Linked DNA regions of Macaca fascicularis. The protein of the gene in region 1 interacts with the protein of each later gene in a biochemical or structural test. Links are inferred from orthologs where the notes say so. Each region holds a gene or a part of one and is shown in the gene's direction. Other genes may lie near its edges.

The links.
Region 2: of the proteins of WNK1 (region 1) and OXSR1, one has a biochemical effect on the other in vitro, tested with the Homo sapiens proteins (2 studies listed by BioGRID and IntAct, with this or other methods). The link is inferred for Macaca fascicularis from reciprocal best matches to the Homo sapiens genes WNK1 and OXSR1.

Annotation. Positions count from the first base shown.
Region 1 is NC_088385.1:1,505,484-1,514,196, forward strand, and holds the start of WNK1 (serine/threonine-protein kinase WNK1), read left to right. Parts: upstream 1-4,176; 5' UTR 4,177-5,123; coding exon 5,124-5,882; intron 5,883-8,713. UniProt on the Homo sapiens protein: Serine/threonine-protein kinase component of the WNK1-SPAK/OSR1 kinase cascade, which acts as a key regulator of blood pressure and regulatory volume increase by promoting ion influx.
Region 2 is NC_088376.1:100,191,049-100,199,564, forward strand, and holds the start of OXSR1 (serine/threonine-protein kinase OSR1), read left to right. Parts: upstream 1-2,933; 5' UTR 2,934-3,264; coding exon 3,265-3,334; intron 3,335-8,516. UniProt on the Homo sapiens protein: Effector serine/threonine-protein kinase component of the WNK-SPAK/OSR1 kinase cascade, which is involved in various processes, such as ion transport, response to hypertonic stress and blood pressure.

The DNA of each region.
Region 1 (8,713 bases):
CATCTCTACAAAAAACTTAAAAATTAACTGGACATGGTGGTGCACACTTGTGGTCCCAGCTACTTGGCAGGCTTGAGCCCAGAAGTATGAAGCTACAGTGAGCTGTAATTGCACCACTGCACTCCAGCCTGGACAACAGAGTGAGACTCTGTCTCAATAAAAGATAATCTTTCAATTTTATGAGAGAAAATAATATATTTTAATCTGCATTTTGCTAGTTACTGAGTTTCAGCATTTTTTTCATGTTTATTTTTGTTATTTGCATTTACTGCTTTATTTCATTTTATTTTTTTTGAGACAGTCTCGCTTTGTTGCCCAGGCTGGAGTGCAGCGGTGCAATCTTGGCTCACTGCAACTTTCGCCTCCTGGGTTCAAGTGATTCTCATGCCTCAACCTCCCGGGTAGCTGGGACTATAGGCGCACACCACCATACTCGGCTAATTTTTGTATTTTTAGTAAAGATGGGGTTTCATCATGTTGGCCAGACTGGTCTTAAGCTCCTGGCCTCAAGTGATCCTCCCACTGAGGCCTCCCAAAGTGCTGGGATTACAGGTGTAGGCCACCATGGCATTTACTGCTTTCTAAATTATCTTTTCATATCCTCCTTTTCTACACAGTGGTTTGCCTTTTTCTCAGTGATTTAAGAGGTTTTTTTTTTCCATATCTTTTGGATATTAATCTTTTGTTATACAGTCTCCAGAGTTTTTCTGGCAGCTTGTGTTTTGTTGAATAGATTATCAATTTTGATATTGTCAAATATTTTTCTTTGTGGCTCTTGGATTGTTCTTTGAAGCCCTTTAGTACCTTATGTTCTCCTATATTTAAAAAATTCTTTAGATTTTTTTTAAAGTTTAGTTATTCAATCTATGTGGAAATTAATTTTGTGAACAGTCTGAAGTAAACTGACCTCATTTATTTTTCAAATGAATAATTGTCCAAGCACTGTTTATTATTTCGCCTTACTGACTTCAAATGCAATTTTCCTTATATATATATATGAACTTCCCATACATACATGAGACTGTTTCTGTACTCTCCTGTTTCATTGCCTATGCTTACCTCAATACCATACAGATTTAATTTTGTGGTTTTATAATATACTTTGATATAGGTAAAATCCCATCCCCTCTATTTCATTTATAATATAAAGTTCTTAAAAACTATTCTTCATTGTTTAGCTGCCTGATTTTCACTGCCTACTTCCAGATGACAGGGTTCCAGATGACAAAGAGGTAAAATAAAAATTACCCATAGGCAAGACAAAGGAGCATGGGAAAATGAGGGGAAGGAGACAAAGAAAAAAAGAGAAATGCTCTTAAGATGGGACAATTTTTTCCCCTACACTTCAAGAAGCAACTTTATGTATTAATATTATGCCACATTCAAAGTAAGGCAGATCTTGTGTGTTCAGGATATTTCAGTCACTGTCTAAATCAAAAGTGTCTCTTTCATTGCTAGCTAGTTACCAATGGCAGAAACCATGTAAACGAAAAATGTGAATGGATGGGAATAGAAAGAAACATGAATCAATCAATGTGAGAACATGAACAAGAACTAGAGAGAACAGAGAAATGGTGAGAGAGAATAACATACTTGTATCCTTGTGGAACCAAATGTCAGGAAGTCAAACCTCTGAGCTTAGTGCATTCATTGTATCCTGGTTTCTTTGTTACCTCTGTTTATGGTCACTTGATGTTTTATACGGAATACAGAGAGGTTGATTCTTTACTCGATAATTGAAACAACAGAGAAAGGAAAAGTACTATTAGGAATTATAGTAATGAGTAACAGAAAATATCATTTACTTGGAGATAGGTTGGTAAGCATTAAAAAGAACTGAGTGAGCCGGGATCAAGCCACTGGACTACAGCCTGGGTAACAGAATGAGACTCTCTCAAAAAAAAAAAAAAAAAAAGTGAACAAAAAAGTGTTAGTAAAATATGCACACCAAACAACATAACCTTTAAATCTAATCATTGTACGTAACAAGATTATATTCAACTTAAAATTGTATCTGTTTTCATTGTAAAGCTAACATTACACAAGTGGGAAAAGCTGTCTCCTAGGCAAGTGTGGTTTTAAGTCAACAATTAATTAAATTACTTACAATGAATTTAGTTGTTCCTGGTTGAAAAGACATGTTGATAGGGCATGGTGATTATCAAGGGACTTGTGTCCAATGCAGTGTGGCCAAAGTTTCAGGGCTCAGTAAACAGGAACAGGCAATAATAAAATCCTTTAATAACCACTCACACAAAAATATCCTAATTTTTTTATGGTGCCAAAAGGGAACATTGTGATTTACTGATCTTCTTTTAACTTGCCAATTTGTAATTAGCTGCCTTATGTTTAAAATCAGACTATTTTTCCTCCTGAAGCAACAATTGGGCAAGTTTTATTTGACTCAAGAAGTATAATAAAAATGTATTTTACGGCCATTTCTTCCCTTGCTTACAGTAGGTTTACGGTTAGAAATACACTCTTAATTCCATTTACCATAATGAGATTATTTACCATTACCAGCAGCAAACGAATGAAAGATACATTTTCTAGAGCAATGGAACACTAATATTTTAGTACTCTAGTTGTCCCTACTGAATTGGCATTTTAAAATGTTCACAACCTGTCAGCTTCATGAAACCTCACAATCATTGGCTTCAAACATTGTTGTAAACTCGAAAGGGTAGCTTGTGATAAACAACAACAAAAAGAGAAAGAAAACAGCATTAACCATTTTACGGATCAGATGAATTAACATGAACTGCACGGCAAGAATTCTGCAGGTGGAGCTCATCCGAGAACTGTGCTAAGGAACCTCCTGCCGAGTTCCTCGCTGGCTGCTCGCTCGCAGCGTGGTCCTCGGCCCGGGACGCGCGCTTCCGAGCTGGTTCCGCAGCGGGCGCCCAAGAGAGGCGGCCGCGCCCGGACGCTCTGATGCGGTTGCGTACGTTTTCCGCGCTTCCCGCTCTCCACCGGTTGGACCGAGGCTTTTAAACTGCCATCTGCTCCCGAGTCCGGCCTCCTACTCCGTCTGGTGCCCCCTGGTGCTCGTCCCCTCCGCATCTTGAGGAGCTGCGAGGAGCACAGGGGTCCAGGGAGACAAGGATGCTTTCAAGAAAAACATGCCATGGCGCCGAGCCGCAGGGATCCACGTTTCCCGGGCCCAGGGCCCTGGTAGACGTTGCATGTGGACACTGAGGAGCTCTGGAGAAAGAGGGGGTGTTGTTTCACGGAGCCACCCAGCAGAAGAAAGGTGGAAAATAAGTTTCAACCAACTACAAAGGCAGAAGTCAGCCCAGCCCCCCCAAGTGTGGCCAAAGACCCATAGATCCGTAGACCTTATCTTTTCTTGAATCCACCGCTCCCCCAACCCCGCTTTTATTATCTTTCAGGCAAAGCCAAGAGGGAGTTCACTAGGATCCCCCATTTCAGTCAGGCAGCCCTTTTTTGAGAGCCGGAATATCCGTGTCGGGCGGGAGCTGAGAATGTGGCCTTAATTGTTGAGGGGAGGAGGATGGAAGATAATCCTGTCTCCTCCTCCAATCCATTTAATCAATATTAATTTCATGCACCATCTTCACAAAGTTTCTTTTCCCCTCCTCCGACTCAGAACTCAGGCTCCGGTTATCCGGCTTTACCCTTCCCCTCCACCCCCACAGCCCTGCAGTCACTCAACACTACTGCGGCTCTCTCCATTAAAGATGAACAACAGATCATTTTTCATTGCATGGCAACCCTAAGAGCTCTCTCGCTTAGCAGAGCATGATGGGAGTCTTTCCATCTCCCCCCCACCTTCCTCTTTTTTTTTTTTCCCTTCCTTCCCTTCTTCCACAATTAATCCCTAAATAATGATTTTCCTAAGCTCGCGCGGACTTCAGGATGGGGTTGAGCGACCCGCGATGACGCTCCCATCAGCCTTTCAGAAGGGACGGTTTCTAAAGAAAACTACAACTCCCACGAGGCATCAGGCTACAGCAACCGCGAGGCATCACGGAAGTCGTAGGCACTTTTCTCCTAGGTCCCGTTCATCTCCTCCAACCCGTAAACTATAAGTCCCAAGGTGCCTCGGGGCTGGCACGCCTGCGCAAAACCCCGGAGCGAGGTGGGGGGTGGGGCTGCCCCGGGCGGCGGGGGGCGGGATCCGAGCGGGCTGTGTGGAGGCTTCAGACTCCCGGCGCCATTTAGCGCAGAGAGTTTCCCGGGCGGACGCGGCTCCTCTCTCGGCCCCTCCGCACCCCCGTCTTCGGTGACAGAAGGCGCCTGGTGGGGGTGACTGCTCTTTTCTCTCCCTGTTCCCCCTCACCCAGTCCTCTAGGTCTCCTCTCCTCTTGCCTCAGAGAAGCAGCGGAGCTCGGGCCCCGCGGTGAGCGGCCCTCCCCTCCCCGCCGTTCCCTCCGCCGTCAGCCCCCGGCACCGGCCCGGGAGGAGGCGGGTTCGCCAGGCCCGGGGCGGGCGGGGAGGCCTCGGGGAAGGGGGGGCCCGCTCCTCAGGCGCCGAGGCTCCGAGGCTCCGGCCCTTCGCCCCGGGGCGATGGGCGACCAGTGAGGCCGGTCCCCATCGCGGGGGGCGCGTGTGGGAGGCGGCGGCCGCCGAGTGACCGGAGCCGGGCCGCGGCCTTCCTCGCTCGCCTCGGCCCCTCCCACTCCCTGCCCCGGGGCTGCCACCGCCCGGGCGTCGGAGCTGGTCCCGTGCTCGCGGCGCCGCCGCCCTCTGGGCCTAGCCCGCCCGGCTCGGCGAGCGGGGCAGTGGGAGCCGCGTCCGCCGCATCCGCCTCGACTCGGTGCCGGCCCCGGGCCCTCCCCTCATGACTGCGGCGCCTCCGCTGCCGCCGCCCGCCCGGCCGCCGCTCGCCGCAGGATGGATGCGGACCGTGCGGCGCTAACCCCCGCGGCTCCGCTCCCGACTCGCCCGCCTTCGAGCCCTCCTCGCGAGCCGCAGCAGTCTCGGTGCCAGCGGCCCGCCTCGCCCTCGCTGCGGCTGGTCAGTGCTGAGTGAGGCGTCTCCGGGTCGGCGCGAACCCGCCCGGCCGCGGTGCCCTGCAGACCTCCGCGCGGGCGGCTCGGCCCTCACGCCCTTTCCATCCGCGACTCCGAGCCCGCTCGCCTCTCGCCAGCGAACCGACCATGTCTGGCGGCGCCGCGGAGAAGCAGAGCAGCACTCCCGGCTCCCTGTTCCTCTCGCCGCCGGCTCCTGCCCCCAAGAATGGCTCCAGCTCCGATTCCTCCGTGGGGGAGAAACTGGGGGCCGCGGCCGCCGACGCCGGGACCGGCAGGACTGAGGAGTACCGGCGCCGCCGCCACACGATGGACAAGGACAGCCGCGGGGCGGCCGCGACCACCACCACCACCGAGCACCGCTTCTTCCGCCGGAGTGTCATCTGCGACTCCAATGCCACTGCGTTGGAGCTCCCCGGCCTCCCTCTTGCCCTCCCCCAGCCCGGCATCCCCGCGGTTGTCCCGCAGAGTGCCCCACCGGAGCCCCACCGGGAAGAGACCGTGGCCGCCACCGCCGCTTCTCAGGTAGCCCAGCAGCCTCCAGCCGCTGCCGCCCCTGGGGAACAGGCCGTCGCGGGCCCTGCCCCCTCGACTGTCCCCAGCAGTACCAGCAAAGACCGCCCAGTGTCCCAGCCTAGCCTTGTGGGGAGCAAAGAGGAGCCGCCGCCAGCGAGAAGTGGCAGCGGCGGCGGCAGCGCCAAGGAGCCGCAGGAGGAACGGAGCCAGCAGCAGGATGATATCGAAGAGCTGGAGACCAAGGCCGTGGGAATGTCTAACGATGGCCGCTTTCTCAAGTTTGACATCGAAATCGGCAGAGGCTCCTTTAAGACGGTCTACAAAGGTCTGGACACTGAAACCACTGTGGAAGTCGCCTGGTGTGAACTGCAGGTAAAGCCCCACCTACTTCTTTATTTGAAGGTCCTCTGGATCCCAAATTTGGCTTGGCGAAGCCAGTTGATGGAGTTCACCCTTCACTTGGCATTCTCTAACTGTTGGACTCCGAGTGGGAGGGGGAGGTCAACTTTTGAAAGGGGTTGAAATTAGGAGAATGTGGAGCATGTGCCTCGGTGTTGGGATAGGATAAGAATTACTGGTAGCCAGAGGGATTTGCTACCGGGCAGGGGTGGTGAAGGTCATCTTAGTATAAACGAATTGTCTCCTGGTTTAGTGTCTGGCAAGGAACTTGGAATGAGGGGGGAAGTTGAAAGTACAGATGCTTCTTCCTCTGTGCGTTTCAGTCTCATCAGAGGCTCTGCAGTGATGAGCTGCCTCTGGGCGTAGAAGCGTGTTTCCATTCCTGAGATCAGGCTGTTCTTTTTAAATGAGAACGACCTTGTACTTTTGGATATATCTTACTTGATGGTTGCACAGGCATTTAGTATAAAATAAGTATTAAAAAAAGACTCTTCTCTGCCCCTTTTGGATGAATGCCTTGGCCGTAGTGACGTGCAAATAAATGTTTGATGTTGTTCTACCTAATGATGCTTAAGCCTTACAGTAGCAGCATTGCTCTGACATTGTTCGTTAAACTAACGTCTTTCAGCCCATTCACTATACAGCGAATAGTACAGGAGCCCATGCAAAATTGTGTAAGTGCTTTGAGAGTTGTAATGTCATCATCATTATTTTAATCTTATAAAATATTTTTAAGCTAAACTTTCCCAAGAGTCCAAAGGAGTCGCAATACTTCCTTTTTTAACCTCTAGTGGTGTAAATAATGGTGTGTCATTCTGGTTGACTAGTACATTCTAGGTTTAAACAGCTGAGTTTGCGCTACTTGTTGCTTGACTAACTGAAGCAGCTTGCTTGAATGTTGCCCTGACTGGGCATAGGTGAACATAGGTTATTAGTAGGAGCAGGGTTATACTGAAGGAAAAAAGTCAGCCACATTATGCATACATAAAAAAATGTCATTAGACCAGCCTGATACAGGATATGAAAATAACTGAATGATCTTGGAACTTGTTTTATCCATGAACTAATATGTTAACATGTAACCCTTTGAATGTCAGGTTCCAAATAATTAAGGCCATATCAAATGTGAAATTAACACAGCATGTGGAAGTAAACTTAAAAACTAAGAAGTTCTTTACAAACATAATCATTTCTTAACTTTTACAGTTAATGATGTAGAACTTCTAAGGTAGTGTGAAATTAAAAGTACTCATTAATTTTATAGTATTTTAGAATTGGAAAGGTGACAGATCTTAAAAAAAAAAACAACAACGAAAACTATTCCTTTTCGTCAGTCATACTCAAAAAACTTAGTCTGGGCCAGGCGCGGTGGCTCACGCCTGTAATTCCAGCACTTTGGGAAGCCAAGGCGGGTGGATCACGAGGTCAGGAGTTTGAGACCAGCCTGACCAACATAGCGAAACCCCGACTGTACTAAAAATACAAAAATTAGCCGGGTATGGTGGCACGCGCCTGTAATCCCAATACTTGGGAGGCTGAGGCAGGATAATAGCTTGAACCCGAGAGGCGGAGGTTGCAGTGAGTGGAGATCACACCATTGCACTGCAGCATGGTGACAGAGCGAGATTCTGTCTCAAAAACAAAAACAACTTATGTCTGATTCCTTTTGGTTTACAGGCAGAAATTTACAGAATTTACATTTCTTTCTTGTACTTTCGACGCCTATTGCTACTGATGCTGGAATTTTATTCTTCCATTATAGTTCTATATTTGAATAGGTGCTTTTTAACAATTTTTTTTTTCCTTAACCGGTTACCTTACTTTTTTGAGACTGGACCCAATTACTTGTTGAGCACTTTATGAATTAATTTTGTTAGTTTTAATTATTTCACTTCTGAGACTTTTCAGAATGTGATGTGTGTTTTCCCTTTATCACCTGGAATTTTCTGATACTTTATTATCTTGGAACTGATAATACAGTGAAAAAAAACTTAATTTGTCTAATATCATGATACAAACTTTGTCTAAGCTTCTCAGGTTTTCTTAGAACTGGTAGCTTTTTGGATTTTTAATTATCTAGGCATGGGCATGACTAAACTAAAGAAAATCTTATATTGCATATTATTTTTGAGTCATTTCCGGATTTGGCTGCAGAACTAGATGAATCCTAGCTTATTAAGTGGTACCTGATTTAGAAACTTCCATGTCATTTGTCTGTGCCTCTATAATTTTTTGTTTTGATTTTGAAAAGATTATCCTATCTGAAAAATCCTTTATAGCAGCAGTTAGGAAGTATTTTTGGTTTTTTGACCAGGACAGTTGCACTATATGCCTAATAAAGTATTCACTGGGTCAGTGTTTGAACTTTTATCTTTGGAGCCAAATTAAAGGACAAGCCCAAGGGATTACTAAAGCGTTGGGAAGATAGAAACTTTTTCCCTAAATGTATCCTTTTAATATACACATATTTCTGAAGCAAGACAGGAGAATATTGTGTTAAGTTGTTGACTTAAAAATCTTAGTGTATTAAAACTGGAAGAAATCTTAGGTTATCCTGCCCATCTATTTATTTGACAAATAAGAAAAGTGAAATCATAGAGCAGGTAAATAACTTGATTAGGTAGATGAAGAACAAAAGCTAGTTAGGATCTAATAATTTGGGAGATGATAAAGTATTTGTAGTCCAGTAGATGGCTAATAAGTAATTTCAAATGAAGCAATATTGTTTTGGTGTGGAAGTGGCTGTTGGATTTCTGGAGGACCTGGTCCTATACCCATGGCAAATTTCAGGCTTCTGTTTTGGG
Region 2 (8,516 bases), on another chromosome or scaffold:
ACTGTGGCACCTTTGCTGGGCCTGGACTATTCTATCCTCTAAATGTGCATCTATTGAAATCATGTTAACTTTGCAAGGTCTGGTACAAACACTTCCTTCTTCATGAAACATTCTCCAATCCTACCAACTAGGTGGAAACCCACTAGTAGCTTCTAGTTGACTGGTTTCATGGTCAGTTGGACCTCCCACAGCAGAGCTCACACAAAGCTTCCAGTGCTTGGAGGTGTTTTATTATTTTTTTATTTTTTATTTTTTTTGAGACGGAGTCTCGCTTTGTGGTCCAGGCTGGAGTGCAGTGGCCGGATCTCAGCTCACTGCAAGCTCCGCCTCCCGGGTTTACGCCATTCTCCTGCCTCAGCCTCCCGAGTAGCTGGGACTACAGGCATCCGCCACCTCGCCTGGCTAGTTTTTTGTATTTTTTAGTAGAGACGGGGTTTCACTGTGTTAGCCAGGATGGTCTCGATCTCCTGACCTCGTGATCCGCCCGTCTCGGCCTCCCAAAGTGCTGGGATTACAGGCTTGAGCCACCGCGCCCGGCCTTGGAGGTGATTTAGAACCAAACTAAGATCTACTTGCCCAGTGCAGTAACGCCAGATTGCCACACAGGTTTTGCTGCAGTAGACAGGCAGGACTCCCAGCAAGGAGAGGAGAATTGGTGTAGCTCAAGCTTAAGACCTAAACTTCCCCAGCCTGACCAACATGGTGAAACCCGCCTCTACTAAAAATACAAAAATTAGCCAGGCGTGGTGGCAGGCGCCTGTAATCCCAGCTACTCAGGAGGCTGAGGCAGGAGAATCGCTTGAACCTGGGAGGCAGAGGTTGCAGTGAGCCGAGATAGTACCACTGCACTCTAGCTTGGGCGACAGACCGAGGTTTCGTCTCAAAAAAAAAAAAAAAAAAAGTCTGGGCGCGGTGGCTCACCCTTGTAATCTCAGCACTTTGAGAAGCCGAGGTGGGTGGATCACAAGGTCAGGAGTTCGAGACCAGCCTGGCCAATATGGTGAAACCCCGTCTCTACTAAAAATACAAAAATTAGCTGGGCGTGGTGGCACGCACCTGTAGTCCCAGCTACTGGGGAGGCTGAGGCAGGAGGATCACTTGAACAGGGGATGTGGAGGTTGCAATGAGCCGAAATCATGCCACTGCACTCCAGCCTGTGCAACAGAGCGAGACTCCATCTCCCACAAAAAAACAGAACAAAAAAAACCCTGAACTTCCAATGGCTTGCAGGAAAGGTTTTTTTTTTTTTTTTTTTTTTTTTTGGAGACGGAGTCTGGCTCTGTTGCCCAGTCTGGAGTGCAGTGGCACAATCAACGTTCACTGCAACTTCCGCTTCCTGGGTTCAAGCCATTCTCCTGCGTCAGCCTCCCGAATAGTCCCGCGCTGCCACGCCCGGCTAATTTTTTGTATTTTTTTAGTAGAGACGGGGTTTCACCATATTGGCCAGGCTGGTCTCGAACCCCTGACCTTGTGATCCACCCACCCCCCCCAACCCCGCCCCGACCCCCCGGCTTCTCAAAGTGCTGAGATTACAGGCGTGAGCCACTGCACCCAGCCTTTTTTTTCTTTTTTTTTTTAGACGGAGTCTCGGTCTGTCGGCTACTGGAGTGCGGTGGCATGCGGCATGCTCTCGGGTCACTGCAACCTCTGCCTCCCAGGTTCAAGCGATTCTCCTGCCTCAGTCTCCCTAGTAGCTGGGATTACAGGCGCGTACCACCATGCCTGGCTAATTTTTGTATTTTAGTAGAGACGGGGTTTCACCATGTTGGTCAGGATGGTCTCGAACTCCTGACCTCAGGTGATCCGCCCGCCTCGGCCTCCCAAAGTGCTGGGATGAGCCACTGCACCCGGCCTAAGGTCTCTTCCTTAATAACTGCCATTGGACTGAAATGCGTCCAACCTAGAACAGTTTCGCACCTAGCCCTATTCCTGTTAGATGCTCTTTATTTTTTAAAATCCAATTTACCAAGCGTGTTGTCTTCAGCTCGCTAATTTCTCCAACGGCACTACGTAGTCAAACTGAGAAAACTGTTCAGTGGGGGTGACAAAAGCCAAGGCTCGTGAGACAACCCCCAAATCTGTGGGTCGATCTGACTTGTTTAATAGCCCAAGCCCTGTTCGGGGGGAAAAAGCCTTCCGAGGCCCTCAAGGCAGGTGCTTGAGCTGCAGATCTAAAGTTGCTAATGGACAGAACCCGCCCAATGCAGGAGGGAACCGCGAGAGACAGCGCCACAGCATGCCTTAGAGAGAACGTCCGCCTTGAAAAAAATGTCACCAGGCAAACTTCCAGTTTCACTCCGACCGGTGGCCCAAGGCCTTTTATCCTAGTTGGCAGTGGTCCACACCCGAAGGCTACCCCACCCAGCCGCTCCCTCAGGGCTTCTCCACACCCCGTGGAGGCTTTCGCACGTCTCGAGGGTGTGACGGTTACGCCGTGACGTCACTCCAGAGGAAGTGGTAAGACGAGCGGGGTAATGGGGCTCTTGAAGGGCTGCAGCCCTAACACGGAGAAGCGCTCTAAGAGCCTGGAGGCGGGACCAGCTTATGACTGACGTCTACCCACACCCATTGCTTTTCTGATTCCTTCTCAAACAAACCAATGAATGCGACGACGGAGCCAGCAACGTGCCCCAGGCGCTAGAAGTGGCTCCGCCCCCTCTACTTTGCTGCGCTTTGGTCGCCATGCTTAGTGTGGCTACTGCCTCTGTGCTACCTGAGGCTCTCCTACGGCTTTTCGATGCCTTCGATGAACCTCTACCTAAACATTTCTTCCCTTTCACCGCCAACTCCCACCTTCTTGGGTTTCTAGCTCGCTCACTTTGTATCCAGCCACACTGGAGATGGCGGCCGGAGGCGAGCCCGAGGTGGGGCGTGACCAGCGCGGTGACGTCAGCGCGCTGCGTGTCGGCAGGTGGAGGGAGAAGGGAAAGTTTGGCCCGTGCGTGGGGCTGGGGTGGAGGGCGGGACAGAGGGGCTGGGCCCAGGGAAAGCTTCTGTCGCTGCTGCTGCGGAGGCCGAGGACAGGACGTGGGCTGGGCCGGGCAGTGCCGGACGCGGAGGAGCAGGAGGCGAGGTCTGCCGGAGCTCTGAGACCCCGCCGCTCTGCCGCGCGGTGACCCCGCGCCCTGGCGCCGTCCGACCCGTGGCTGTTCCGAGACGATTGGTGGGGGCGCGGCGGCGGCTGTTGGGGGTGGGGAGACGCGCGGCGAGGAGACGAGCGAGGTCAGCGAGTTTGAGGGAGGACCGCGAGCCGCTGCCGCCGTCATGTCCGAGGACTCGAGCGCCCTGCCCTGGTCCATCAACAGGGACGATTACGAGCTGCAGGAGGTGATCGGTGAGAGCAGGCGCCGCGGAGGGGGAAGGCGCGGCGCTGGGCGGCGGGGGACGCGGGAACGTGGGGATCCGCGGAAGCTCGGGGAGCGCAGCCCTCACAGGAATTCGTGGGACGCTTGTGTCGAGCGTGTGTGAGACGGGAAGGGGGTTTTGAGGCGCGCGCCTGTGAGGCGGCGTGGGGTGGGGCTTGAGGGGGCTCAGGAGAGATTTGTGTACAGCATTCTCCGATGTGTGGACAGGAGCGACCCATGTGTCTTGTAGAGAAAGAAAGTGCAGGTGTGGGGCAGGCCTTACCGAGGCTGTGTGAGAAATGGGATCTTGAAGTTGTGGGCACAGCCATCGATTTCTGCTTTAGTTTTTTCCTCCTGGTCCGTGCTGGGGCGAGCTGGGGATCCTCCAGGTGAAGCTGCAGGAACCACGCTGAGCAACAGAGACCCAGCTTCTGACTCCTTTCAAGTGACTTTCTAGTCGAGGAGGTAGACATTAAATAAGTAGACAAAAAGAATTAAAAAGGGCCGGGCGTGGTGGCTCACGCCTGTAATCCCAGCACTTTGGGAGGCCGAGGCGTGCGGGTCACGAGGTCAGGAGATTGAGACCAGCCTGGCCAATATGGTGAAAGCCCGTCTCTACTAAAAATACAAAAATTAGTTGGATGTGGTGGGGCTCGCCTGTAGTCCCAGCTACCCGGGAGGCTGAGGCAGAAGAATCCTTAAACCCTGGAGGCGGAGGTTGCAGCGAGCCGAGATCGCACCATAGCACTCCAGCCTGAGCGACAGAGCGAGACTCCGTCCTTGGTGGTGGTGGGGGGGTGGAATTAAAAAGAAGAGGTTTTGGCAAGTGCCATGAAGGAGATAAACAAGATGTTCTGATAGAGAATAACCTGGAGATCTAGTTAGGGTGATTTCAAGGAAAATTCTTTTTCTGAGGCGATGACATTTCAATTGAGCCCTGAAGGATGAGAAGTGAGGATTAAGAGCCTCAGGAAGATTTTTCCTTACAGAGGGATGAGGAGATGCAGTGGCCTTGAGTAGGGGAAAAGCTTGGTATGTTTTAGGACCTGAAGGAAGGCTGGCAAGGATAGAGAGGGAAGGGAGGAGCCAGAGCTTAGGGATCTTCTCAGCCTTGCTACAGATTTTGGAATTTTATGTATCACTGGAGGCCCTCAAATAGTGCCTTGACGTGATCCAATAAATTGGGCTGGTGTGTGAAAAGATTTGAAGGGGGTCCAGGAATCCCAGTTGGCAGAGACCAAAACTTGCACAAACATAGATTGTAATTCTCACAGAAGCCTAGGGATTGGGAGGAGGCTGGGGCCTGGGGATGAGGGGAGTATTTGTTGGACAACAATAACCCAGTGACCTTGGAAATCAAAAGGGGGTGGGTTTAGCTATACAGGCTCAATCAAACTGACATGAGCAGACACCTGTGTATTGGAGGAAGGAGAATTGTCTACTTTGCCAGCATCCTGCCCTAAAATTAGTTTTATAACAAAGACCAACTGAAGACTTCTTAGCTGCCTTGGGAGTGTCGGTGTTTATTTCACTGTGGGTTTAAAAAAAACTTTGTGAAAAAAATTTTTTTTTAACTTGCCTCTTGTTGTAAGACAATCTGGGCTTAAAGCAGTATTGGTTTGTGTAGGAAAAACAAAAACAAAACAAAACAAAAAAACCTGGACTAAATAAAGACATCACATCTTTGCTTAAGCCACTTCATGGGCCTGTGTGCTTGCTACGTATTTATTGGGTCTTTGACGTGTATTTGTTGGTTCTAAAGACAGCTGGTTCCCGGTCTGAACTGATTGCTTCTGGTTCCGCCAGTCAGAGTTTCATATTGAAGGAAAGGATTAAATGGAAGATTCTAAAATGATGTCAGAGAAGTAAAGATGAGGTTCCCTATCATCATTTTAAAAGAAGAGTTTTTATTTTTATTTTTTTTCTGGTAGTGTGTCCATCTTTCTAGGGTGAAGAGGGTGGTTGTAGTCATTCTCAAAGCCTTTGGTGTTAAGATGGCAAAGAATTTCAGAGTTACAAAGGCGCTAGAGATTTGGTGATTTGTTAATTTGGTGTCCTCAGACCCTTAGGATGTCTGTGAGTGGGCAAAAGGTAGCCTCTCAGTCTTCTGGATAGGGTTAGTGTTCCTCACATTCACAAAGTGGTCCATGGTTTTTAAAAGGTTATGAACTCCAATGTGATTTGACCATCTTTCATGGATTTAAAACAGCTTTACTGAGGTATAATTTAATATAAAATTCACCCATTTTAAGTGGAACGTTTAGTGATTTTTAGTAAATTCCCTGTGTTGTACAACTGTCTTCACGATAATCCAGTTTTAGAGTATTTCCAACATCCCCATGAGATCTCTTGTGCTTTCTTACAGTTAATCCCTTTTTCCACCCCCAGCCTTAGGCAACCATAAATCTACTTTTTGTCTCTATAGACTTGCCTTTTTTGGACATTTGTATAAATGAGATCATATAACATGTGGTCTTTCATGTTTGGTTTCTTTCACTTAGCATAAATATTTTTTCATTTGAAAAAAACAAATTTGAGATATAATTTACATACCATAAGATTTACCTGATTAAAATGTACAATTCAATAATCTTTTAGTAAATTTACATAATTGTTCAGTCATCACCACAATCCAATTTTAGAACATTTCCATCATTCCAGAAAGATGCCTCATGTCCATTTGCAGTCACTCCCTGTTCCCACCCCCAGCCCCAGGCAAAATATACTTTCTGTCTCTATAGATTTGCCCTTTCTGGACATTTCATGTAAATGTAATCATATAATATGTGGTCCTTTGCGTTTGGCTTCTTTTACTTCCCATAATGCTTTTTGAGGTTCATCCATCTGCCATGTAGTACATGGTTCCTTTTTATTGGACACCAGTTAATGGGCATTGGATTGTTTCTGCTTTTTGGCTGTTTGGAATAAAGCTGCTTTGAGTATTCACATCAAGTCATCCCATGAATATGTTTCATTTTCCTTGGATGTATACCCAGGAGTGGAATTGCTGGGTTGTATCACAAATTTAACTGTTTAAGAAACTGCCAAACTGTTTTTCAAAGTAACTGTACCATTATGTTCCTACCAGTAATTATAAGAGTTCTCATTTCTCTACATTTGTTGTCTTTTTGCGTGTAACCACCCTAGTGGTTATGAAGTGGTATCTCATTGTGGTTTGGATTTGCATTGCCCTAATAACTAATGATGATGAACATCCTTTCATGTGCTTATTTTATTAGGCTTTCATAGATCTTCTTTGGTGAAATATCTGTTCAAATCTTTTGTCCAGTTGGACTGCCCATTGGGTTGTTTTCTTTTTTCTTTTCTTTTTTTTTTTTGAGATGGAGTCTTGCTCTGTTGCCCAGGCTGGAGTACAGTGGTGAGATCTCAGCTCACTGCAACTTCTACCTCTTGGGTTCAAGCAATTCTCCTGTCTCAGCCTCCTGAGTAGCTGGGATTATAGGTGCTCGCCACCATGCCCAGCTAATTTTTGTGTTTTTAGTAGTGATGGGGTTTCACCATGTTGGGCAGGCTGATCTCAAACTCCTGACCTCTGGTGATCCACCTGCCTTGGCCTCCCAAAGTGCTGGGATTACAGGGGTGAGCCACTGTGCCTGGCTGTTTGTTTTTTTTTTTTTTTTTTTGAGTTATAGAAGTGTGGGTATGTGTATTCATTTTGGGTATGTGTCCTTCATCTGATATATGATTTAATTTAAATATTTTCCCATCTGTAGTTTTTTTTTTTCTTTTCATTTCCTTTTTTTTTTTTTTTTTTTTTGAGTCTTACTCTGTCACCTAAGGTGGAGTGCAGTGGCATGATCAGGGCTCACTACAACCTCCACCTCCTGGCCTCAAGTGATCCTCCCATCCCTGCCTCCCTGGTAGCTGGCACTACAGATGCACGACACCACGTTTGGCTAATTTTTGTGTTTTTTGTAGAGACCGAGTTTCGCCACATTTCCCAGGATGATCTCAAATTCCTGGGCTCAAGCGATCCGCCTGCCTCAGCCTTCCAAAGTGCTGGGATTACAGGCATGAGCCACTGTGCCTAGCCTTCTTTAATTTTAACTTTTTTTTTTTTTTTGAGTTGCAGTCTTGCTCTGTCGCCCAGGCTGGAGTGTAGTGCCATGATCTTAGCTCACTGCAACCTCTGCTTCCTGGGTTCAAGCAATTCTCCTGTCTCAGCCTCCCGAGTAGGTGGGATTACACGTGTGTGCCACCACACCCAGCTAATTTTTTGTATTTTTAGCCTCCCAAAGTGTTGGGGTTACAGGTGTGAGCCCCCGCGCTTGACCTCTTTCATTTACTTAATGGTGTCTTTTAAAGTACAAAAGTTTTGAATTTTGATGTTTATCACTTTTTTTCTTTTATTTATTTTGCCTTTGGTGTTATATCTAATAAATCTTTACTAACCCAGCATTGTGAAGATTTTTTTATCCTATGGTTTCTTTTAAGTGTTAGTTTTAGCTCTTGCATTTAAGCCTCTGAAACATATTGAGTTAATTTTTGTGTATGGTGTGAAGAAAGGTGAACCACCTTACTACAACCATCTACAACTGTTTTACAGTTGAAGACACAGAGACAGAAAGGTAAAATGACTGCCTAAAGCCATATAGCTAATTAGAGGCAGAGCCAATACTGGCATCTATGTCTCCTGTAGCCTAATTCAGGATCCTTATTCCTGTATCTACATTGGTTCTTGGATATAAACTGGAAGATGGGGGACATTGTCTCACAGATTAAGGGGAATATCTCCCCTGCTTTTTTTTTTGAGACAGTGTCTCACTCTGTCACCCAGGCTGGAATGCGATCACAGCTCACTGTCTCACTGTACGAACTCCTGGCTTGAGTGATCCTCTTGCCTTGGCCTCCCTAGTAGCTGGACTACAAGCACGTGCCACCATGCCCACCTCATAGTTTTATTTTTTGTAGAGACAGGGTCTCATATGTTGTCCAGGCTGGTCTCTACTTCTGGGCTCAAGCGATCCTCCCACCTTAGCCTCCTAAAGTGTTGGGATTTACAGGTATGAAGCACTGTGCCTGGCCAAGGGAAGTATCTATCCTTAGAGTGAAAAAAATCTGATAGATATTCCACACCTGTCACATCCTTCCAGTCTACTCCTTACAGCCTCTCTCCATTTTCCCAACAGGGAGAAAAAAATTTTTTTCCTT